Linked DNA regions of Xenopus tropicalis. The protein of the gene in region 1 interacts with the protein of each later gene in a pairwise test. Links are inferred from orthologs where the notes say so. Each region holds a gene or a part of one and is shown on either strand. Other genes may lie near its edges. The genes, in order: txlnb, nmi, vim, deup1, washc3, cep57l1 and cep63.

What was found.
Region 2: the proteins of txlnb (region 1) and nmi interact in binary tests that used the Homo sapiens proteins (3 or more experiments, as listed by UniProt). The two-hybrid records come from large-scale screens. The link is inferred for Xenopus tropicalis from reciprocal best matches to the Homo sapiens genes TXLNB and NMI.
Region 3: the proteins of txlnb (region 1) and vim interact in binary tests that used the Homo sapiens proteins (3 or more experiments, as listed by UniProt). The two-hybrid records come from large-scale screens. The link is inferred for Xenopus tropicalis from reciprocal best matches to the Homo sapiens genes TXLNB and VIM.
Region 4: the proteins of txlnb (region 1) and deup1 interact in binary tests that used the Homo sapiens proteins (3 or more experiments, as listed by UniProt). The two-hybrid records come from large-scale screens. The link is inferred for Xenopus tropicalis from reciprocal best matches to the Homo sapiens genes TXLNB and DEUP1.
Region 5: the proteins of txlnb (region 1) and washc3 interact in binary tests that used the Homo sapiens proteins (3 or more experiments, as listed by UniProt). The two-hybrid records come from large-scale screens. The link is inferred for Xenopus tropicalis from reciprocal best matches to the Homo sapiens genes TXLNB and WASHC3.
Region 6: the proteins of txlnb (region 1) and cep57l1 interact in binary tests that used the Homo sapiens proteins (3 or more experiments, as listed by UniProt). The two-hybrid records come from large-scale screens. The link is inferred for Xenopus tropicalis from reciprocal best matches to the Homo sapiens genes TXLNB and CEP57L1.
Region 7: the proteins of txlnb (region 1) and cep63 interact in binary tests that used the Homo sapiens proteins (3 or more experiments, as listed by UniProt). The two-hybrid records come from large-scale screens. The link is inferred for Xenopus tropicalis from reciprocal best matches to the Homo sapiens genes TXLNB and CEP63.

What each region holds. Positions count from the first base shown.
Region 1 is NC_030681.2:63,185,840-63,189,897, reverse strand, and holds the start of txlnb (beta-taxilin), read left to right. Parts: upstream 1-1,258; 5' UTR 1,259-1,273; coding exon 1,274-1,360; intron 1,361-4,058. UniProt on the Homo sapiens protein: Promotes motor nerve regeneration. May be involved in intracellular vesicle traffic.
Region 2 is NC_030685.2:76,351,363-76,354,862, forward strand, and holds part of nmi (N-myc-interactor), read left to right. Parts: intron 1-330; coding exon 331-489; intron 490-1,159; coding exon 1,160-1,276; intron 1,277-2,002; coding exon 2,003-2,165; intron 2,166-3,500. UniProt on the Homo sapiens protein: Acts as a signaling pathway regulator involved in innate immune system response.
Region 3 is NC_030682.2:28,577,923-28,581,422, reverse strand, and holds part of vim (vimentin), read left to right. Parts: intron 1-625; coding exon 626-721; intron 722-848; coding exon 849-1,010; intron 1,011-2,812; coding exon 2,813-2,938; intron 2,939-3,500. UniProt on the Homo sapiens protein: Vimentins are class-III intermediate filaments found in various non-epithelial cells, especially mesenchymal cells. Vimentin is attached to the nucleus, endoplasmic reticulum, and mitochondria, either laterally or terminally.
Region 4 is NC_030678.2:165,843,015-165,846,514, reverse strand, and holds part of deup1 (deuterosome assembly protein 1), read left to right. Parts: intron 1-2,988; coding exon 2,989-3,243; intron 3,244-3,500. UniProt on the Homo sapiens protein: Key structural component of the deuterosome, a structure that promotes de novo centriole amplification in multiciliated cells.
Region 5 is NC_030679.2:49,091,941-49,095,440, reverse strand, and holds part of washc3 (WASH complex subunit CCDC53), read left to right. Parts: intron 1-636; coding exon 637-747; intron 748-1,636; coding exon 1,637-1,701; intron 1,702-2,971; coding exon 2,972-3,050; 3' UTR 3,051-3,500. UniProt on the Homo sapiens protein: Acts as a component of the WASH core complex that functions as a nucleation-promoting factor (NPF) at the surface of endosomes, where it recruits and activates the Arp2/3 complex to induce actin polymerization, playing a key role in the fission of tubules that serve as transport intermediates during endosome sorting.
Region 6 is NC_030681.2:77,956,228-77,958,564, reverse strand, and holds part of cep57l1 (centrosomal protein cep57l1), read left to right. Parts: coding exon 1-185; intron 186-1,354; coding exon 1,355-1,499; intron 1,500-2,337. UniProt on the Homo sapiens protein: Centrosomal protein which may be required for microtubule attachment to centrosomes.
Region 7 is NC_030681.2:130,326,526-130,330,025, reverse strand, and holds part of cep63 (centrosomal protein of 63 kDa), read right to left. Parts: intron 2,405-3,500; coding exon 2,309-2,404; intron 1,716-2,308; coding exon 1,599-1,715; intron 172-1,598; coding exon 58-171; intron 1-57. UniProt on the Homo sapiens protein: Required for normal spindle assembly.

The DNA.
Region 1 (4,058 bases):
TCTAAATGTTGTGTGACAGCATGTAAGTGTGTATATGAGTGTATAAAAGTGTGCTAAAGTGTGCAAATTTTTTTTAAAAAACTGTTCTAATATGTGTGTTCTATGTGTGTGTAAATGCAAGTAATTGTATGTGAGTGTGTGAAAGTGTGTATAATAGTGTAAGGAAAGGGCACTTACCTGTCCTAGAGCTAGATGGCCAATCAGATTGCAAGCAATCAGATTGCAATCAGCTGTCCTCAGTGGTCCTGCAGAGTCCTCTGTCCTCTGAGCCGAAGGAGAAGCAGCAGATCACATCTGCTGCTTGGAGGTTGGTCCTATGATGATTGCATCGCAGGACCCACATGACAGCCCCCCTGGCTCGTTGCCCAGGGGGCTGTCATCGCTCAGGACTCTCTGCAGAAGTGGCATCTGCCAAACAACGTATGACATACGTGGTTGGCAGATAAAGCATATTTCTGCAATCACTTATGCCATACGCTGTTGGCAGGAAAAGTGTTAAAAGACAAGAGGAAGGAGCTAGCACATAGTGCTAGCCCATAGTGCTTACAAGGTAAGTGGGTGGGTCAAAGGGCTGCAGTTTACAGTGGATGAGGCATTGCCTCATAAGTGCTAAGACTGAGTAATGGTGGCCATACACTGTAAGATCCACTCGTTTGGCGAGGTCGGCACCTATAAGTGGGCGATGTAGGGCTAATTTGGCCCTAGGGCCAAATTATAGAATTAAAATGGCAGGCATAGGTGCCAAAATATTCTCTGTACCATGGGGTGCATACATTAAATATATACACACAGATTTAATTCAAAAAAATTAAAGATACAGTAGGTAAAGAGGGCCCTGCTTAATACAGATGACACTATAGACATTGCAGTTAATGTACAATCAGATATTAATTGTTCTTTATATCTTTAATTTATGTGTGTGTAGATAAGATCTTGTCTTTTCATACAAGTCGACCCATAGTCTTACAATGCTAGAACTGTATGTAATTAAATTCCATACAGTAAAGTCACGTTTCTTAAATATCTTCTCTGCTAAATATAGCTGTTGCTTTGTATTTACCAACAAAACTTTTCCATATAATAAAAAAAGCATTTTCATAGTTTTAAATTTTTTTTACAGAACCTACAATTTGTTGTTTTTTTATGTGAATGCCCTTCAAGAGGGTTATAGTTGTATTCTCTTATCCTTTAGTTGCATTCCCTGTCTAATTTTGGCAAGCTGTCATCGCCCTCATCTGTTCCTTTTTCCCCTCCTCCATAAGCCATTCTCTAAATGTCCTGCCTCTTTCTCCAGTTGTCCCTTTTTCGCTCACGTTGCCTACATAGGTTATACTTTCTGCTCTTCTTCAAGTCTTCCATGGTAAGTTCTTTAGAAATATTATATTTTAATTAATTCCTAGATAACCGCATTTAGGATTTTATGCTTGACGGTTTAGCTCTTATTTGTGATTTACTTTATTTCTGTTTCTAAATTACAATAATTTAAAGGGCAGGTTATAAGGAAGCCATCTGGCCTGGGCCCTTCATTCTGTGAAGTATTCTTACCTGGGCCCTACCTTAGGGAAAAATGTTGCCAAAAATACAAATACTCTGTAACATTTGTCAGATGCTTTTAGTTACATATTCAGGGATGTTTAGTTTGGCTACCTGGCTGTCGGGGTGTGCTGAGAGTTTTGATTAAAAAAAACAGTAAATCGGGATCTCTTACTGGACCTCCCCAATTAACATATTTTTCTCCCTTTTTATTGACGCCTTGGTCTTCCCACTATGCCTGTTTCCCACTCTTGTTTAACTGTAGTCATTCAAGGTCTGATATATGAAATACAGCACTGAGTTTCTTTAATTGTTAAAAACTTTACCTAATTAGCGGTGATTCTTTTGCAGTGCAAAATGTCTAATTTCTGATTTTTCAACATTGCAGTTAATCCCTTTTGGCAGAGATTAATATATCTGTCTGATATTGTGTACTGCCACTGACAAGGAATTCTTTGTTTGCCAAGAGAGCAGTGCTAGTATAGTAAAATGGGGCTTTATTTAACTGTAGGATTTATAATATTATGAAACACAGTACTTTTTTTTGTTAGCTTTTCACAGGGAGTATGTTTGGTAAGTTTGTGTGCACTTTAATATGTAATACAAATGCTATTTTGACAAACCCCTGGGATACTTTTTCAGTGGGGCCTAAAATAGTTTCTGGCTTGACAACAGGTGCTGTCCATCTGTATGAAGGGACAGAAGGGAGCACTTTGCCAAGAAGAAATACAATCTTTTTCTTGATCAGTGACATATAATGTGCTGCTTTTTATTATAGCGTTATATTCTAACATTAAGAAAATATGTAAATGCAAGAGTTGCTCTGAATTGATTATATATCTGATTATATCTATCAGTAATTTAAGTGACATCAAAAACATCACTTTTTAGAACACAGGGACTCAAGCAGTGTTGGTTTTAAAACAATGATTGTGTAGCCATTAAAGGGCTAATGTTCTTTTATGGTAACTTTAGGATGTTATAGAATGTTCAATTCTTAGCAACTTTTCAAATGATCTTTATTTTTCAGTTTTTGAATTATTTGGTTATCTCTTTCCAGCTTTTAAATTGGAGTCACTATCAGCCAAAAACCTATTACTCTGTAAGGCTACAATTTTATTATTCATATTAAATTCTCTCATTTAAACCACAGCTTTGTTTCTAGGCCAGACTTGCTAAACCATAGCAGCCAGATAGATAGACTGTGAGAGCTGATGAACAAATATATAAGCTACAAAAAAATTAAAAATAAAAACCAGTTGTAAATTGACTCAGAGTATTGAAAAAAGATTTTTTTGACGAGTTGCATTTTTTGACGCTCGTTTTTTTTACTTGCGCACTGCAAATTTTTCCGCTGCAAATTTTTGCACACATTTCACAAAATAATCCGCCAATGGTGAAAGATGGAAATTTGCAGCAAATCCATGCCTGCTGAAAAATTTAATTCATCACTAGTGGTGAGCAACAAATTGGTCACAAGCCACTGGTTAGGGATCACTGGTCTACATCATGCTACAAATTAATTTAAAGGTGAACTTTAATAATATCAAAACTGTTTGTAGCATTCTTTACATCTTATTATTCACAAATATAACCTATAATATATATGTAAAATATATACTTAGAAAAGGTGATTCCTAATGATAAAGTACCACATGTGTAAAACATAAGGATATTAGACATTTCATTATCTGCACTCTGCATCCTGCATACTTTTCCATTTATATAGCCATAGAAACTTAAAATATCCTTATATATTGTACTGGGAGTATAGTATTTCCAATATTATAACTTCATCTCCCTAGGTAAATGATGAAGTGATACTGACTCAAAAAAATTACTTTTCAAATTATGAATCTACATAAAAAGTTACCTATAGGTCATGTTGATCTTTTTTCACTGTTAGGGTTGGTTTTGTATGTAATTGTTGCTTGAAGTTCCTACACCTGACTGTTTTGACAACCTGACTGTCCCTTCTCAGCCTGTCAGTTATAGCTTCTAATGCTAACGGCCTACTGCTGCACAAATATGGCTGCCCCCTCACAGAAGAACATGGGGGATCAGATAACTAATGGAAAGCATCAGGAAATACTTTTTTGGCAACATGATAAAGCTCATGCAAAGCCAATGTTACAATAGATGTATAAAAGGTTTCATTTCTGGTGTCAGTATCTTTTTAAGGCCAGTTATGGTGAAACTGGCAGAGAATATCTATTTGGTTTCCTAAACACTACTGTAAGTGAAGCTTAAAAGTGAGCAATATGGGTAGTGCCAGGCCAAGCCATCCGGGCACCCTAGACCACCCAGCTGGCCTCCTCGTCCAGCCATTTTTGACACAGGGGAGGGGGGGCGGCGCTGAAGACAGGGGAGGGAAGTAGCTCACATGTGGATGGTGGGGGAAAAAGGGCCCAGAATTAGGGTTAGGTAAAAGAAAAGGTACCATTGCTCCCTAGGCACATGCTTTTTCTGCCTACCCCTAGTTCTGGCCCTGGATATGGGGGTGAACACTTGAGTGCTACCCTAGA
Region 2 (3,500 bases), on another chromosome or scaffold:
TCCAGGTCATGTTATATCTGTAGTAATAAGTCAAATCAATTGGACTACCTGTGTTTTTCTTGAAGACTTCATTTGTAATGGTTTCTCCATGAATATCTGCTGTGCCTTCTTGTTAGCCATCACCAAATCTCTCATATGTCTGGTAGATGCTTTTGTTTTTATTGGATGCTGAAGGTATCTCGGTATAGTTATTGCCTGCTGTGTGATTATTTTTAAACTTTTAAAGGCGCTATGCTATGTTGTGTAGAACTTTCAAAATATAGCAATAGGGTACAAATGCAGCGCTGGTATCTGATTACCTCAACTTTCGAATTCTTTCCCATATCTAAGGAAAAACATGATGCGGCAGATAACCGTAGATCGAACTTAATCATGGAGAAAGTGGATGCAAGTGATGCAAAAATGAAAACTCAGCGGCAGGTGGAAGAACTCGCGAGAAAGCTAGATGGAACTGATGAAGAGAAAAAGGAAAAAGAAAATCTCTATGAGGTAAAGAAGAAACTATTCTTGCTCATTGTCTTATTTAGCTGCCATCATCGATCTGTACATTTAGGGGACTCTTTTCTCTGTTTTTTTCTATGCTATGGGAAAAGATACCCTGTCCTCTCATATAAAGAGTAATCATGTCCCCTCGCAAGCGCCTCTTTTCCAGAGAAAACAACCCCAACCCTGACAGTCTAACCTCATAGTTTAACCCTTCCATCCCCTTTACCAGTTTAGTTGCACGTCTCTGCACTCTCTCCAGCTCATTAATATCCTTCTTAAGGACTGGGGCCCAAAACTGCCCCCCATACTCAAGGTGAGGCCTTACCAGGGACCTATAAAGAGGCAAAATTATATTTTCATCCCTTGAGTATACTATACTATAATATATGTCTCTGAAAAGCTTTAGCGGTTTATTTATCATTTGCCAAGTGATAAGTGCACTAAGGGACATCAATTAACATGCAGAACCCACAGAGCGTGCACCTAGTCCCAGTTCCACCGTAGACACGGAGCCTTGTTCAACTCACAATGCTCTGGAGCCCTGCCCTGTGCCTTGCCCATTTGTGTCACAGAGTATCTGGCCTAGCTATCAGCTTGCCACTTTGACCACATTGTTAGTCTCAATTATAACGATTCATCGATGTTCATTGGTTTCTAATTTTCAATATTTTAGAGAGAAATAAAGGGGCTAAAAACGGAGAATTCAGATTTACAGAAACAGATTCAGGATCTCACAAAAGCCTTTAAAAGGGAGCAACGTGTTTTGGAAGATATAAAGGAGGATCTGCAGGTAAAGACACTCTCCCTTCTGATGTTTCTTTTGGGATCAGAGTAAGTTTTCGCCAAGGCAAATTCTATCGAACTTGTATTAGGCCGCACAGAGCCTGTTGTTAGTTTTTAGATCTGTATAATCTTTGTATTCTGTCTGTCTGGCAGCAGTCTCCATGTAGCCCTCCTGGAGAGTGGCAGTACCCTTATAAGAAGCCAGCTGGGGGTGCATACCAGTCAGGGACCACTTATTAATATAGGGTATGACCTGTAGAACACAGTAAATGATGGCATCATAGGTCTTCCCCTGTATTAGGCATAATGTCTAACATGTACAAACATAAAAATATAATTATAGGTATCAACCCTGTTTTATGCCAATTAGAGGGCTCGTTTATGATCATAGATGCAGTGGGAAATTTGTGTTTTTCCCTGCAGTGAGTTGCGTCTAAAACCACTTGCATCCAAAGCGTCTCTGAAGTCCGTCTTGCCTTCCTTTCCGAATGCTGCGCTGCTGAGTCTATATACGCACAGCACTGTGCAAATCCTGGAACTGCCATTACCTCCTGACCAGGCAGAACGCCAGGGTTCCCTCAGCCCTCTCTATCAATAGGCACAGTGTACTTACAGCTAAAGAATGGGGTGCAGGCATCATTTGCACACCAAACACTGACACTAGATCTGATTTACAGTGAAGCACACACACTTGCGTCCATTTTAACCTCACTGATTTTTTTCTCTGTACCAGGCTGAGATCACATTGCCACAAAAAAACATTAATTTTAAGGTTGAGGAAACCCCCAAGGATGGAGAATCTTCTCCAGACATATCCTACAAGTGCTTTGTTACAATAAATGGTGTCACTATCCTCGAAAGTGGGCAGACTCTTTTGACATTTGAAGACATCGAAGGTAAGACACAAAGCTCAGAACACTACTGGGCTGCTCTCCCAGTTGCCTTGGAACCCAGTTCAACCCCACAAACTCTGTGCCACATAAAGGGTTGAGGGGAGGTTTTTACTGTCAGTGCTGCCTTGGGATCTTCTGCTTCAATTATCCTTCCTGGCTGAATACTGAGCTCTAAACTTGACCCATGACCAATAGTGCTCACTTTGGAACCAAACTCAATGGACTGAAGGGCCTCCTCCAAGAACTGAAGGGAGATCATTATTTTTGAGATAATTATTTTTTGAATGCCCCCAACCCAGCTTTTTTGCCATTCATGTTGATACCATGAGCAGTGTGGATTTTTAAGTTGAAGGACAAATCAGCTAATGATTTCCAACAATGTGATTCCAGTACCAACTGCCAAAGAGCATGGTTGAGTGTAGGATGTAAATGTTAGGTTGAGGGAAACACACTAAAAAAACGGTTTGATATAATAATGGAAGCTTTTTTTGAAACTGATTAGCCAGACATCTGTTAGAGCAGGGATCCCCAACCTTTCTTACTTGTGAGCCACAGTCAATTGTAAAAAAAATTTGGGGAGCAACACAAGCACCAAACAAGTTCACGGGGGTGTCAAATAAGGGCTGTAATTTCCGATTAGGCAGCCTCTATGCAGTTTGGTAGTACTTTTTGTTTTTATTCAACAAAAACAATAAGCCTGAAATTTAAAAACATCCAAGAGATTGGTGAGCGCTATGTTGCCCCCGGGCCACTGGTTGCGGATCACTGTGTTAGAGTTTTGGTGCAGTTTTGCAGCTACCATTGTCTGTCTTAAAACATCTGGATCATTAAACCCACTGTAGCCTAAACAGGCACAACACACCTCTACGACAATCTCTAGCACTGCCATAGCTTCCCTCAGTAGTGGTGGGCAATAAAGCTTGTAGGCAGCCTCTACCTGCCATTTTTAATTTGCAGTTTGAAGGCAAATGATAATATACATGTATCTCAATGCACATGAGAAATTTGTTGGTGCAGTGTTGAAGGAAGAAGTGCAAGAGGATTAAGAGGTGCCTTAATGCTCATTCGAGCAGCACTTCTTCATTGGGTCTGGTTGCACTGTGCAATTTACTACAGATAAAAAATCTGCTACAGGGTGTAAAGGTGGCCATACACGGGCTGATTGTAGCTGCCGATATAGGCCCCTTAGACTGATTTGGCAGCTTATCAGACTGTGTAGGGGCAGGAATGACGGCCTGAAATCGGGAAGATATTGATCGGGCAGGTTAAAAAATTTAGTCGGATTGGGGACCGCATCGGCTTGTCCCCAAACTGACTGCGCCCATTGCCGCCGTTATA
Region 3 (3,500 bases), on another chromosome or scaffold:
GGATGGGGTTAGTAGGGTTTGGGGAGAATTCTTCAATAAATTAGCCTGCAAATCAACCCTTTTTTTTACACAAAATATTCCCTTTAATTAAAGACCATTGCAGCCTAGATGCTCCACTTACTGTTAGTTTTACATATAGATGGCTGGAGTGATTGATTTTATTGATGACAGGTTGCAGGTTGGGTGTATTTTGGCTGTAAGGCTTAACCGAGTCCAGATTGCCATAAAGCAGTGCATGGACCATTTTCAAAGTGACCCTTTCCTGCTTTTAACCTTGATGTTCTTGGGTTAGAGGCATCTGGATGGAATTTGTGCTCTTGGCTACCAATAGCCTAGGTCAAACAACATCATAATAATTTTTGTTTTCCTTTAATTCATGCTTTTTTTATCCTTAGAGCCAAAGATGAACTCTGCTAAGTTATGTCATTTGGGTCTCGCCCTTAACATCTGGCATTTAAATGATTAGCACATGGGACTGGGCTGCAACAGCCCTGCATTAATATGCCTTCCTTTAGAAATGACTAGAATATCAAACCTTTAATATGCTTCTTAAAATCATTTATGTGTATTAAGGAGTTGACATATGATTTACTAGCTGTTAACTGTAACACCATTTTATTCTCAGGATGTGGACAATGCCTCTTTGGCACGTATTGACTTGGAGAGGAAAGTGGAGTCTTTACAAGAGGAGATTGTTTTCCTGAAGAAACTCCATGATGAGGTGAGACTAGAAAGCCCTACATTTATGTAGTCTGCCATGTTTGTAGTTGTATCTTGATTCTGTTATATAAATTCTACGTTTTTAAGACCTGAAAAAAAGTTGAACTTTTTGTTATTTGTTTGACTAGGAAATCCGAGAACTTCAGCTTCAAATTCAGGAGTCACATATCCAGGTTGACATGGATGTGTCCAAACCGGACCTCACTGCTGCCCTGCGTGATGTCCGCCAGCAGTACGAGAATGTGGCTGCTAAAAATCTTTCGGATGCCGAAGACTGGTACAAGTCTAAGGTGCGTCACAAGAGATTCTGCCATTAGTGGTGGTGGTTGAGAATATATATACACGAACTGTGCACCTTATGGTGCTTTGGTGGAGCTGAGAGTTGTACTTTAACAACAAAAGGTTTGGTGATGGGAATTAAAAAACTTAGCTATAGTTTTCTTGCTATACTAAACCTGCTATCCCACAGTCCCTTCCCAGAGGCCATTATCCCCCCACTGCTACTATAGGCACCATCTCCCCCCACTATACCTGCTATCCCACAGCCCCAGTCCCTTCCCAGAGGCTATTATCCCCCCACTGCTACTATAGGCACCATCTCTTCCTACTATACCTGCTATCCCACAGCCACAGTCCCTTCCCAGAGGCTATTATCCCCCACTGCTACTATAGGCACCATCTCTCACTACTATACCTGCTATCCCACAGCCCCAGTCCCTTCCCAGAGGCTATTATCCCACTGCTACTATAGGCACCATCTCTCACTACTATACCTGCTATCCCACAGCCACAGTCCCTTCCCAGGGGCTATTATCCCCCCACTGCTACTAAAGGTACCATCTCTCCCTACTATACCTGCTATACCACAGCCACAGTCCCTTCCCAGAGGCTAATATCCCCCCACTGCTACTATAGGCACCATCTCTCCCTACTATACCTGCTATCCCACAGCCCCAGTCCCTTCCCAGAGGCTATTATCCCCCCACTGCTACTATAGGCACCATCTCTCACTACTATACCTGCTATCCCACAGCCACAGTCCCTTCCCAGGGGCTATTATCCCCCCACTGCTACTAAAGGTACCATCTCTCCCTACTATACCTGCTATACCACAGCCCCAGTCCCTTCCCAGAGGCTATTATCCCCCCACTGCTACTATAGGCACCATCTCTCACTACTATACCTGCTATCCCACAGCCCCAGTCCCTTCCCAGAGGCTATTATCCCACTGCTACTATAGGCACCATCTCTCACTACTATACCTGCTATCCCACAGCCCCAGTCCCTTCCCAGAGGCTATTATCCCCCCACTGCTACTATAGGCACCATCTCTCCCTACTATACCTGCTATCCCACAGCCACAGTCCCTTCCCAGAGGCTATTATCCCACTGCTACTATAGGCACCATCTCTCCCTACTATACCTGCTATCCCACAGCCACAGTCCCTTCCCAGGGGCTATTATCCCCCCACTGCTACTAAAGGTACCATCTCTCCCTACTATACCTGCTATACCACAGCCACAGTCCCTTCCCAGAGGCTAATATCCCCCCACTGCTACTATAGGCACCATCTCACCCTACTATACCTGCTATACCACAGCCACAGTCCCTTCCCAGAGGCTATTATCCAACTGCTACTATAGGTACCATCTCTCCCTACTATACCTGCTATACCACAGCCACAGTCCCTTCCCAGAGGCTAATATCCCCCCACTGCTACTATAGGTACCATCTCTCCCTACTATACCTGCTATACCACAGCCACAGTCCCTTCCCAGAGGCTATTATCCCACTGCTACTATAGGCACCATCTCTCCCTACTATACCTGCTATCCCACAGCCACAGTCCCTTCCCAGAGGCTATTACCCCACTGCTATTATTGGCACCATCTCCCTATACTATCCTTGAGCATTAAAACAACATTCTGGTTTACATTTAACTGTACAAGAAAAACTTTAGGGAGAGCCTTGGCCTGTTATGAGTAAAATAAGAACAACAATACAATGTGATGTGTCAGTCTCAAAAACAACCATTTGTACATGACCTATAATGGCATTTAAGATACTAAAATGTAGCTTACTGTGTTGTAGTTTGCGGACCTGTCGGAAGCTGCTAATCGCAACAATGATGCCCTGCGTCAAGCTAAGCAGGATGCCAATGACTACCGCAGACAGATCCAGACTCTCACCTGCGAGATTGATGCAATGAAAGGATCTGTGAGTACAACAACTGTGACAAATGAAGGGGAATGTTGGGCAGTCCAGTTGAGTTTTCCACAGACTAAAACTTTCCAAGTGCACTGAAGCAGACAAGTGTGCATATTACTTGGATCACAAATATCCATGGGAATGCCTTTTTCTGTGATGTGATGGGGGAGAATTATACTAACATTTTAACCCATGGTGTGAATGAATTGGGTACGCCAATGATGTTATTGGTTTTATCTAGTGCTAACAATACTGTACAGTAAATAATTATGGCAGAGCCGGAACTAGGGGTAGGCAGAAAAGTTACATGCCTAGGGTGCAACGTTGAGGGTATTTGGCACATTCTTTTGCCTACCCCTAGTTCCAAGCTCTTTTTATACCCCCCACCGCGAGCTACCTCCATCCCGTCTTCAGCGCCGCCAGCAACCCGGCTTAGCTCGGCACTGAATTCTGGTACAAAGGGTCCCTACCTATAGAGCTTTTTGTGCCAAAAGGATAAGGATAAGTGACTTTCTGATGCTAGAAGACTCAGGAGTCATCCACAGACCTGAACCCTGGGGTTAGCCCTCCC
Region 4 (3,500 bases), on another chromosome or scaffold:
CGCTGGGTCAGATCGGGATGATCAGATTGTTTGGCCCATGGGTCATCAACTGGACCTCTTGTCTATGGTGGCTCATCTGGTGAAGGGTGTCATGAAGTGAAAGACCCACATGAAGTGAAAGACCCAAATCTCCTTCTCATACTTGTCCCGGGAGGGGAGCCCCTCTGGGGTTCATTTATAAAGCCTGGGCAAATTCACACCTGGGCAGTATCCCATGGCAACCAACAAAAAACTTTTCAACCAGCAGGTGCCTGAAAAAAGCTAATCACTGATTGGTTGCTATGGCCAGGTGTAAATTTGCCCAGTGTTAGTGCAGTTCTGAAGGAATAGGAAGAATTACTGAAACAACTGTTGCCATGAAACACAATATATTTTTTTTTACATCACTTGGAAAAACAAGCTCTGAAGTGCTATAAAAAATAATTGGTATTTTATAAATCGTAGAGCCATGAACCCCCTAGGTAAGCGATTATGACTGATGGGGTCTGGCTATTAGGTTTGCAAGGAAGGAGTTTGTATTTATGGAAATTGCGCCAGTTGGTTGCCCATAGCAACCATTGACATCTTTGCTTTTTTTAAAAAACTTATTTACCAGAATAAATGCTTTGGATGTTGCTCTTACCCGATCACCTTTACAGATGCTGATATCAAATAATATAGCAGTCAGTAGGCACGATCACAATTGTTTTGCCCACCGCATTTTAGTATCACAAACGGGCAGGTCCTGAGTTCAGTACTCTGGGGCAGTGACTGATGCGAATAATGTATAATCTCTATAAAGCGCTGTGGAAATGGGTCGGCGCTATATAAATAACAGGAAATAATAAACAGGCTGAAACTGGCCCCTATGAAAACTGCCTGATTTGCCCATGTTTGCACTTTCAGTCAGTTCTCATAAAGGGTAAGTAAAAGGCAATGTGATTCTGAGTAAGAGATAGACAGCACTGTGATATAGACATTACTGCAGTGCAGTCCATTTCTTCCATGTAGCTGACCAGTTATCCAATAAAACACTTTCCAAGATACCTTTTGGAACAGGCCTGCAGTTGGTCAGCATTACTTTAGTATAAATATAATGAGAAATAAATGTAAAGATTAGTTTACATGCATTCCCCTAAACAAACATTATTGCCCAACTCACTGCGCTGATCCTAGTCACAATGAACAGATCATGCTGGCAGCCATTGAACTGGAGTTGGCATACCTAGACATATGCATTTTTCAACCATTAAAATTCTCCACCCAACACATATGTGAGCAGTCTTTGGCTAGAATAAGAAATTATTTTGTGCAGCCGGTTGCTTATTCAATCAGAAGCGACCAAAATGGCCCATTCTGCCTTTTCATATATTGATGTCTGGGCAGATGGATGCAAAATAATGGTGGTAGTGACCCAAAAGGCCATGTACTTTCCGTTCAGCAGAATAGAGACTGGAATAGTAATTGGAGAAAAATAAGTAATAATAATTACAATAATAATACAATTGTAGCCTCACAGAGCAATAGGTTTTTGGCTGCTGGGGTCAGTGACCCCCCATTTGAAAGTTGGAAAGAGTCAGAAGACGGCAAATAATTTAAAAAACTGTAAACAATAAATAAAATGCAAGTTGCTTAGAATTTGTCATTCTCTTCTCTTTGGCATCATCGTACTGTTGGATCAAGGCCGCGGGCACAAGTGGCACACATGCCAGGCAGATTGATAAAGTAGCTGGAGTCTCAGAGCACTAACGGATATAGAAAGTAGGGATGCACCGAATCCTAATTGGCATAAGCTAATTACGTTTCTGAAGGTTTAAAATTTTCAACTTCCATGTTTGCTTGACAAAAAGGTCACGTGACTTTTCGTATTCAGTTCGGCCAAAAGCGTGGATTCGGCCGAATCTAAATCCTGATGAAAAAAGCTGAATCCCGAACCAAATCCTGGATTCGGTGCATCCCTAATAAAAATGACTTCCATCTGTAGATATCTTGGCCAAAATATTTTTTACAGAAATCATTGTCTAAAATCTTGACATCTTGGTTGGGAACTTTGTATAATGTGCTGATGCCATGGCAGCATCAGATGTTTAGGAACTTAGTGAACAGCACTATTAGAATGTGCTCGATTGGTGGATTCGAAAGTACCAGATATTAGATTAGGCAAGAATGAGATTGAGTCAAATAGACATCAATGGACGGTAATGAGAGTCAAGTTAAGGTGTTTGACCACCGCTGTTCTCTACCCGATGGCAGTGATGCCACGTGTCCCATCAGCCTTTGGGGAGAAGGCTTGTTGGCTCTTCTAGATGCTCTTGGAAGCCCAGATTGATGGATAGATTGAGATTTGGGGCAAAACATGCATTTGCTGTACTAGATGTTCTTGAATCTGTTAATGATTCTTGTTATGAGTGATGGGTTCTGAGCCCAAGCTTTGCCCCTCAGAAGGGTACTGAGTAAGAAAACAGTCCAAAAACCTCTACCTTTAGGTTTATTTGTATTGTTTGATATATTTGTAGATAAATTCAATCCATAAATCAGTCAAAGCTTGTAGGTATTTGTCTTCCTGTTACATGGAACAAAGCAAAGCTCAAGAGACAGAGCTTAGCTGAAGGAAAGAACATTGGACCCTACAGACAGACCAAGGGAAGTTCTAAGTTTGCCTCTGTAATACAATTTTTGCTGTTCTGTGCACATAATAGGATTTATTTTGTACTTCATCCCATTTTTGCTCACGCTGGATCGCTTCCAGCTTAAAATCAGATTTTTATTCAAGAACTTAGATATCCAGCAGAACATTTCCATTAGAGGATTTTTGTGATTTAATGGAAACCTTTCCTTTGGCTCCCCCACGTTCTATATTTACTCCCCGGCTTCTCATCACATCTAATAATTGTGGTGGCGCAGTTACCAGAAGCCGTTCTTCCATTTCATTTGTCTAATTGATTCTCAGTATGTCGTTACAATTGCAGGGTCACAAAATAATTCTGATTTTATGTGTCGTCCTGGTAGAAGGAGTCGCTGAGCTATCAGGAGCAGCTTTCCAGCCAGAAGCAGCTGCAGAGTGAAGCAATTACCAATAACCAGTCTGAAATGCGACGACTGCGGTGCCTGCTTGATACTTCCCAGGAGACCATCAGGAGTGACGGGGTCATCATAGAAAACCTCAAGTCTACTGTAAAAGAAATCACATTAAGCAGGGACTCGCTGAAAGATGAAAATCAGCAGCTCTTACAGGAACTAAGGAGATGTCAAAAGCAGTCCCAGGTAATGGCCGGATAGATGGCGGCACGCAGCTATCATCTGTTGATCTGTCAAGCGAAATAATAACGTGTCATTTACCCAGCTATCAGGTTACCCGAACAGTTCCGTGTAAATATGGAAATTATTATGAAGAGTTGCTGCCGCAGTTATATCCGCTATCATGTAGGAAGATGCAGAGCTTTAATGGCCACCCTCTAGTACAGGGATCCCCAACCTTTGTTTACCCATGAGCAACATGTTAATGAATAAAAAGCTGGGGA
Region 5 (3,500 bases), on another chromosome or scaffold:
ACTCCTAAGTGTTCTTTTTTTACCTTTTGGTTACCCCTTGTCCAATGATGAACTGAAAATAAGGGTTCTTAGTGCCCACAGCCTTATATACTGTGGTTAAAATTTTGTAGACATCCCTTATATATTGGAACTGGCTTTATAAGCCACACCCATCATAGGTGCCACTACATCAAACAATGACTTTTCAATTCCGAGGTTCCTGCTTAGTAGTAGCAGTTTGGGGAAGACAATAATGGTACATACAGAATTGGTTTGCAGAGATGGGAGCAGAAAAGCTTTACTGGCCTGCACCATGCATTGATCTTAACCCAACTGAACTCCTGTAGGGTGAATTAGAATGGCAGCATGAGCCAGGCCTGTCGTGCCCAACATCTTACTTTTAAATGGAAGCAAATGCCACCAACAATGTCCCAGCATCTGGTGGAAGCCTTTTAAGAAGAGCATGTGTTATAAAGGCGGTTAAAGAAGCAAAGAGACAACTTCCCTTGGTTTTAGAGTAAAATGTTGGACAGAGGTGTCCAGATAATTTGGACCATATGTAACTGGGAAAATCTTGCGGGAGGTTTGTGTGCATTTTATGTAAATTTATACAAACTGACCTATTTACATTGAAACTGATCAATTGTGGTCATTTAGAACAATTCCATAAGTGATGGTATTCTTCAAAAAGAGGAGGCAAAATCGGAAAACATTACAACTGTTTCGAAAGATCCTAGATATGCCCGATATCTAAAGATGGTCCAAGTGGTAAGTCATTCTAATAACTTTATTGTTAAATAAAACTGCTTATTTGGTGCGTGTATGCTAAAATTTGTAACTGCATTGGCAAAATATAAAATTTTATGTCGTGCAGCCTTCTGTAAACTGCAAGGTTATTTAAAGCGCAAACCATAAAAAAGTTTTATTTGTATAGTTTACAGACATCCTAGCTGATATGATACCCTGCATGTAAAATATATTTTTTTTTTAACCCTTTTGTGTTGGACATTCTAAGAAATTAATGAATGAAATAAATATCACATAGACCTGTTCAGCTTGTGGCCTTTCAGCTGTAATAAATTGTCATCCCCCAGGATCATTGGGTGGACCACTGGTTAGATAATTATTAATGTCTAGTGTCCTTATACATCTTAGTTGTTGTTTATAATTACTTTTATTAGTCACAGTAGTGACATTACCACACTATTGCTGGCATAATAACAATATTACCATTAACCTTCCTACAGTATGTTTGATTCCAGTGATGATCCATGTAATTTTTTTTCTAGTACCACTTATCATTTCCTTTCACTTTTTTCATAGCTTCTTCACCAATTAACACTTTATACTCTGCTTTCTGAGCAAGGCTTCATGTATTACTAAACTTTGTTAATCCATTTACACTTGCTTGGTGGGTCACTGTGATTTAAAATATGGATTTCTATTGACTGTATGGCTGCTGTGTACCCGCCAGTGTGTAAAAAGGTTTTAATGAAAACAAGATTTGCCACTTAAGCACCTTCAGTAAAATGTTCAAATATTTTTTTTATAGAACTACATACTGTGAGCTTTAATTAAATTGGGTCATAATTCTTTTACATTATACATTTTTAAAATGTGGTATACTGTAAATGTATTAATTTTTTTCAATTACCAGGGTGTCCCAGTGATGGCTATCAAGAATAAAATGATTTCAGAAGGGCTAAATCCAGACCTTTTAGAGTAAGTGAAGATATGTATGTGGCTTGGTTGCAGAGTGAGGCAAGTGATCCATATTGTCTAGATATAATGTGATTGGCTGAACTACCTGGACTTTTAGGTTACTTTCTTTATGTTTAAAACATTAACATAGGGTATTTTGTAATGAATGCCCCCCAAAGGCTAAATTATCCTGAAAAATATAGGTTAATTGCTTGGTGTATTCTGTTTTATATGTAGCAGTTGGTCTCGGGCATCCATAATTGGCCAGTATAATGTAGTCCATAAGCAAATATAGCATTCTATTCTGGCCTGAAAATGAACAACAATCTTCTTTTACTATTAAACAAGGAGTAGGGAACTTGGAAGTTTTGTGCAGTTATGGTTTTTTGTTGGTTTACAATGTTCAGGATACCCCTATGTGAGAACATGTGATACAAAAGGTAGGCAGACCAGATGAATGACCACCCCATGAATGTGTTGTTTGCAGCTGGAACAAAAACCTTAGGTTTAAGAGCGTGCAAATAATTCAGTATCTAAACAGTAACAAAATAAAATAAATTTCATCATCAGCCACTAGTGGGATATTTTGCCTTTAACTTTGCAATGGTAATGAAGCTACAGATTTGTGCAGTTTTATTAACAGACACAAGGTGGCAATGTTTGAGTTTTCAAGGCATAGTGACTATACAGGGTTTGTTCTCTGCTGTAACGGAACCATAACCGATATAATCCTGAAGTTCCGCAAGAGTATGACGGCTGAGCAGAACTGTCATCAGGCAGTTTGTTTTGTGTACAGAGCAAATAAATTATATGTAGATTCCCCAAATGTAGCTTGTGGCTACTTACAGCAAAAACCTAGCAGTGCTGTATTACAATATAAAGTACAGCCAGTTAATAAGGACCATGAATAGACATCAGTAGTTAGTTTTCCTAAATTGTGCGCCACCAACTTGTTTAACCTGTCCTGGAGTTAGTAGAAACTACTGGCTCTGTTGGCTGCTGCAGAAATTCCTAAGATTCCATGCCCAAGACCTGCTTATATGAATAATGGGGCCTAAAACTGACCATGAACGAAATCTCCAATAGCCAAATAGAAAAGTATAACATGCTGGAATATATAATAATGCATTGTATTTAATAGACTGTCTTTTTCTGTGCCTTCCAAACTGCATTACTGTATATTTCCATTAACTTGCACTGTAGGTCTGAGTTGAAATTCTGATACATTTCTGGGCTTCTTTCATAGATATAAGGAGAAGAATAATGCAATTTCTAACGTTTATTTCCCCAGAACTCCTGATGCACCAGTGCCAGATGGAGAAGCTGAAGCAGAAGAAAGTTCCGACAGTGAGTCTTCCTTCAGTGACTGAGAGCATTTAGACTCCTCCTAATCCGGGCAGATTTGTTCCCACTTATTGCAGGCATCTGATCTGCCTGTTATCTCATTACTGTCAGTTTACATAGATACACGTTGTAGCTACAAGTGTAGTATTTTAGGACAAAATGTGCCTTAGTGTTAAACCTGTTGATGCCTCAGAGCTGTAAGGTATATAAAATAACCTTGTGTGGTATCCCAAAACTTAATACGTTTATTTGATTTTTTTTTTCTTTTGTCTCATATACAGTAAACTTCTCCATAAACCCTTTTTATTGAACTAACAGGAAAAATGCACTAAAAAAAATACAGGCACCTGTGTATAAATATATATATATATATAAAGTGTATATGTTAAACTATCAGGATTATCCTATTTGTATGTTTATTATTCACATTTAATGCACAAGTGGGTATTACTGTACTTAGGGAAATAAAACAGGCC
Region 6 (2,337 bases), about 15 Mb from region 1:
TTGCACATGATGAAACACCACAGCCCACAGGTTTCACAAAAGAACCCTAAAACTGCTGAACACAAACCCTCCGTTTTGCCAGGTGGAAGTAGAACTATACCCACGCGCTTAATATCTTCTTTTACCGGAGACAATTTGTCTGACATTTTGTTAGCTTTACAAGATGAGCTGGGGCAAATTAGTTTGTGAGTACTCCATAGTTATATATCAATAGGCATTCATAAAGTAATGGATCTACAGTTCTGCAAGTTACGCAGCACTTTACATTATTATGTATGCCAAACAGGGCTATTACAATAATTTAATAAACAAAGATTACAGAATAAAAATAGGATCAGAAAGCTCTTACAAGAACTTATAATGTAAGGCCCTGGTCACACAGTGTTGACTCTGCTTCTCTCAGCCTGAGTTTTGTAGACAGTCTGAGAGAAGCAGATATGCTGTCTTCCGCAGCTCCATATAGCTGCACTGACAAGCATAGCTTCCGCCTGAGTACAGCTACATGGAGGTGGATCTGAAAATGCCTGTTTTCATGTTGTTCAGGCCAATTTCCACCTTGTTTAGCTGCAGGCAGACAGAAGCTGTGTCTGTCAATGCAGCTATACAGAGATGTAGAAGAGAGCCAATCTGCTTTTCTTAGCCTGCCTACAAAACGCAGTCTTTATAGAAATAATGGTAATTTTAATAAGGTAATTTTACGACATATAGTAGTTGCATGCTGAAATCATATCCTTTTTACTTCTGTGATTTCTCCAGTAGCCCTCCATACATATCTGCCTTCATTTCCTTCAGCACCATAGATTCTTCATGTTCTTAGTAGAGGACCTTTACTTGCTTGCACAGCAAGCTGTTCTAAGCTCTGTCTGTTAGTCATTTTCTATTTTTTCCATACTACAGCTATAGGATCCATTATCCGGAAACCTTTTATAGAAAACTTAGAATTATGGAAAGACAACCCCGTAATACCGTAATGTCCATTTTAAACAATGAATTTTAATTCTTAAAAATATTTTCTATATTCTTTGTAAAACAGTAGACTTTTTATGGAAAGATCCCTTATCTGTAAAACCCCAGGTCCCCAGGATTAAAGATCCTATACTTGTACCATCAATATTTGGCATTTCCACTACGGTATACTCTTCATGTGTTACAAAGGCAATATTAAACCTCGAATCTGTGTAGGTTTTTTTGTGCGTGTGACCATGGAGGTTAACCGAGTACATTTGTGTACCTTTTAGTATAAAAAAAAAATGCATTTCATTTTCTCTACAAGCCCTGTTGATTGGTCTTACTTTTTCCGTTACTGGTCACTTACTGTATCACTTGCTTGTCTAACATATGCATTTTTTCCTAGTGAACACCAAGAGCTTCTCAGGCATATCAATGAAACAAAGAACACTGACATGAAAGAAGATCTAGAACGAGAACTAGATTATGTTGTGAAGCAAATGGAAATAAAAAGTGATCAGATAATGAAATTAAAACGTCATCAGTTAAATGTAAGCAACATAACATCATAGGTGTAATGTCACACTCTGACATGCTGTTATACAGATGGTGGTATAATCTAGTGTAAAAATTATGGTAAAAATTGAAGTCCAGTTGTAATGATATACCTTTAAGCAACATGCAGACAAAAGTTAGTTGTTTGCACATGACCGCATTATGTTCTTCAAAGTAAGATAATGTAAGTATAATTTACATAAAGTTTCCAGCTGCAGCAGTGCACACTGGAAAATCTAAGGGACCACCATGATCAGTCTTTAAAACGATCAGTCTTTATTAATACTTATGCTTTGGTGCTGAATTTCATTAGCTGGAACTGGTGCTTTAGTCAAGGTGGATAGTCTCATTCAAGTATCAGTCTATATTGTCACAAAACCTTCAAGCATGTGCTAGGACAGTGCTGTCCAACTTCTGCGGTGCCGAGGGCCGGAATTTCTCTAGCATACATGGTGGAGGGCCGCTAATGGAAGCCAGTTTTGACCACTCCCCTTTTAAACCACACCCACTTCAAACCACCCATTTTATTACAATGGTGGTAGTGCAGCAAAAACCCAAATGCATGGTCCTCACTGCAGGGATATCAACCGTCATTTATTTGTGAAAGAATTATATTATGGTCATATTAAGACATAACCTTAAATCCATATGCCTCCTCTTCCCCTGTGTAAAGCACAGTAACCCCCAGCACATAATTACACACCTTAGGGACCATTTATTGGCTATTTCCGACTGCTAATAAACTTGCAGAACAAACCCCTGCCAGGTTCACCTCCCACAGGCAGCATAAGGCAGGCAGAGTATGGCACACACAGGCAGTACTCTGCTTGCCCT
Region 7 (3,500 bases), about 67 Mb from region 1:
GTAATTAATTCATGTAAGCATTGCATGACTAAAAAAACAACTCATCTGATAATATACCTGGTACATTTCTGCCTGCTCACTCAAAGTTTTGCGTTGTGCCTCAAGTCCAGCCAGTTGCTGCTGATACAACAGACGCTGCTTCTCCCAATCCAAAGACCTCTGTCGGAATTCCTATGGGAACACCCACCAGTGATTGCATTTATTAACAGTATAATTCAAAAGAATCACAATACTTTTCAAAACAAGGATCATTTATATCTACAACAATAACAGCAGTCCATCTGCTCAGTCATAATTACAGCAAACAAATAACTGAGTAGTTTTTACACAGGAACTTACACAAAGGCAACCTTCAGTTGCACAGGAGTACATGGAAGTTGAGTATTTTCATTCCACAAAAGCTTGAACACCCAAGGTTACAATTACTTAAACTATAAATTGTCTTTCTCTATTACTTTATCTAAGAAGTAAGTGCATATTTAAAAAGGTTCAGCTCCCTTACAACCACTTAGACTGTAAACTCTATATGGGAGGGTTGTCCTTCCACTTGTCTCTGACACTTAGCTCTTAATTTTTAATTTAACTGTACTTTGTACTTGCAAAATATAATTTTTGGCAAATAAAAGAAACAAAATTCTAAGCAGCCTTGCAATATACATTTATTACAAGTTTGTAATGGTTTTTGAGTTGGTATATATAATTGCTATTAGAAGCAGTGTTTGCCTGTCCTTTTCTAATCTCTGCCCTGGTGGCTCAGACTGTTGAAACAATGTAACACAAGCAGCAGACTGACAGACCTGACTTGCTGGAGAAGCAAGACCTTTGCGACATTGTTTAAAATGTAACAGCCAGGAGTTCAGCAAATGCTGCTTTCAATAGCAATTACATTTACAAATAACGTTTAAAGCGCTACAAATTTTTAATTATTTCATATTGGAAAGTTGCTTAGAATTATGTTTTCTTTCATTATGCAAAAAATTATTTTTGGGGTTGACATGCCCTTTAAAGAACAATAAAAATGAATATGGCTAAAATTCCATATTTTTTATAGTGAACCAGCCTAAAGTTTCAGCATCTTTGTAGCAGCAATGATCCAGGCCTTCAGAGTTGTCGCAGGAGCCCTCCATCTTGAATTTTGAAATTCACATGCTCACATGCTCAGTGTGCTCTGGGCAGCTGTTGAGAAGCTGAGCTTAGGGGTCATCACAAAGTATTGAGCAGAAAATGAAGTTGGCCTGTAAAATAAGCTGAGACTGCAGGGCTAATTATTAAAGTCTGATGCTAGCTAACTGGTTTCAGAGCTGCCACACACACAGTATATTGTAAGTGGGTCCCTAAGCTCAGGTAAGTGCCAGCAGCACAGAGTATGGGTAAGGGAATCAGCAGAAAAGAAGATGGGGGGCTACTGGGGCATATTTGGGGGCACAGATCTTCCCTGCTAAAGGGCTGTGGTTGCCTCTGGCTGGTACAGGAGCACAAAACATAATGAACAACATTTCTGCCCTACCTGTTTGCTTAAGCTTTGGTTTACCTTGAATGTATAGTTCAGTACAGTGCCGTGTGCACAAGTAGCATTATATAAATAAAAATATACATACCTCTAACCGCCGCGTCAGGCGGCTGACTTCAGATCTTTCCTCGTCTACTTTATTCTTCATCTCTGATCGCAGGTGCTTCTTCTGTACTTTCTCGTAACTTTTTTTTAATCTGTTTAACTGAGCAAAACAGTGAAATATTTTAAGATCCTAAAAATACTGCTTTAAAAGAGAAAGAAAGGTAAAAGTAAGCTTTATCAGAAAGGTCTATGTAAATACAGCCATAAGCACTCACAGAAACGCTGCACTGACTTCTTTGTCAAAATATTTCTTGTGTCTGTAATTCCTGTGCCACAGACATGCAGCTTTCTGCTCTCTCCTGCTCCCCCCTCCCTCAAGAATCCTAAGAACTCACTCCCCACCTTAGGAATGTGAATCTGAGCCAATCAGCAGGAAGCTGAGCATGTTCACTTGGTCTGGGTGTCTGTGCAGGAGTGAGGCATTATGGGAACTTTCTTTACACAGCTCAGCGTTTTTTCTTCCTGTTTGGCTTCTGATCTTCTGAACGGGAGAAATATAGGGAGACTTAAGGGCACTACTGAGAAGGTATGCCTGCAGCTTGAGATTAACTCTTTACTAGCCTTTCCTTCTCCTTTAATGAGGGCACAGATTGTATGGAGATAAAAGGCAGATAGGCCAGCTGTGTTATGAAAGCAAATCCAATGACACGCAAGGACATGTTGGATAAGGCAGGGCTAAAGAGTATTGCTCACCTCCTCCTTAAAGCCTGACAGTTGAGCCTCATACTGTACAGTCTTATTCTGAGTCTCTTCTTCCTGCTGTATGAGCTGCTGTCTCAGTCTTCTAACCTGTAGGAATCAGATTAGTTTATCCCCAAAAATACACATAATTCAAAGATAAATAATGTACATCCCAAACTAACACAGTTGTGTACTAAATGCTCATGGAACATATGTATCTGTGAGTGTCATAGACAGGAGGGAGGAATAACCGAGGTCTGAGAGAGGGGTATCCTGTGGAGTGGTCAAACTCAAAAGGGGGAATTCACAAAAGTGGCAATATTGAGACAAAATAAAAATGCAGATAGACTTGTCGGATTTTCCACCTTATTCACAAATCTCTATCTCCACTTTTGTAAAAATTTTTTAGATTTTGTCTTTTAGATGTAATTTTACTGACAATTTGTCTTTTGCCCTTTTAAAATCTGTTGGTGTGCCATCAAACCCAGACCCACATCTACACAAGCCTTGGAATAACAATTTTACCTGCAGAATTGTAGCATTTTATTTGCCAGTCATTTCACTTTAGGGGCATTTCCTGAAGGGGAATTATAGTTTGCCCATGAAAACTATCAGTTTCTTAAGGACAACCTGGACTTTATAATTTTTTGTGTAATTCCACTTCTGTAACAAAATTTAGGGGTCTAAATACCAAAGTTTTATTTTATATGTGGAAATACAACTGATTTAGAAATCGCCATGTTTCATGAATATGCCAGTGCCAAATATGTATAGTTTTATGGAGTGTCAGTGAAGTGCTGCTAAAATTAAAAATTACCTGGGAGGCGTTACTGTTCCTTCCATTATATATAAAGATTTAATAATGCAAATATGAGGTAAAAACTTGTTTATGAAAATGTTAATGATGGTTTTTGCAGCTATTGTTCTAGGGTTTCTGTTTGTCCCCTGACAATAGGCCGCTAATCCCTATCAATCTGCTAATGATCCACCAATGGTGCTCCTACAAGAGGTGTGACTTGAAGAATGGGTGAAACAAAGCAAAACAGAAGATCTTAGAATTGACCTGAGAGAGTTACACTGAGCTGTACGCCATTTTGGAAATGTCTGGGGGCCTCTTAGAGATTAATATGCAGAAGAGGAAATATCTATATTTCAAACAGGAAAACAAAGTGACCAATTCTTATAAATAAGGCATAATATACAA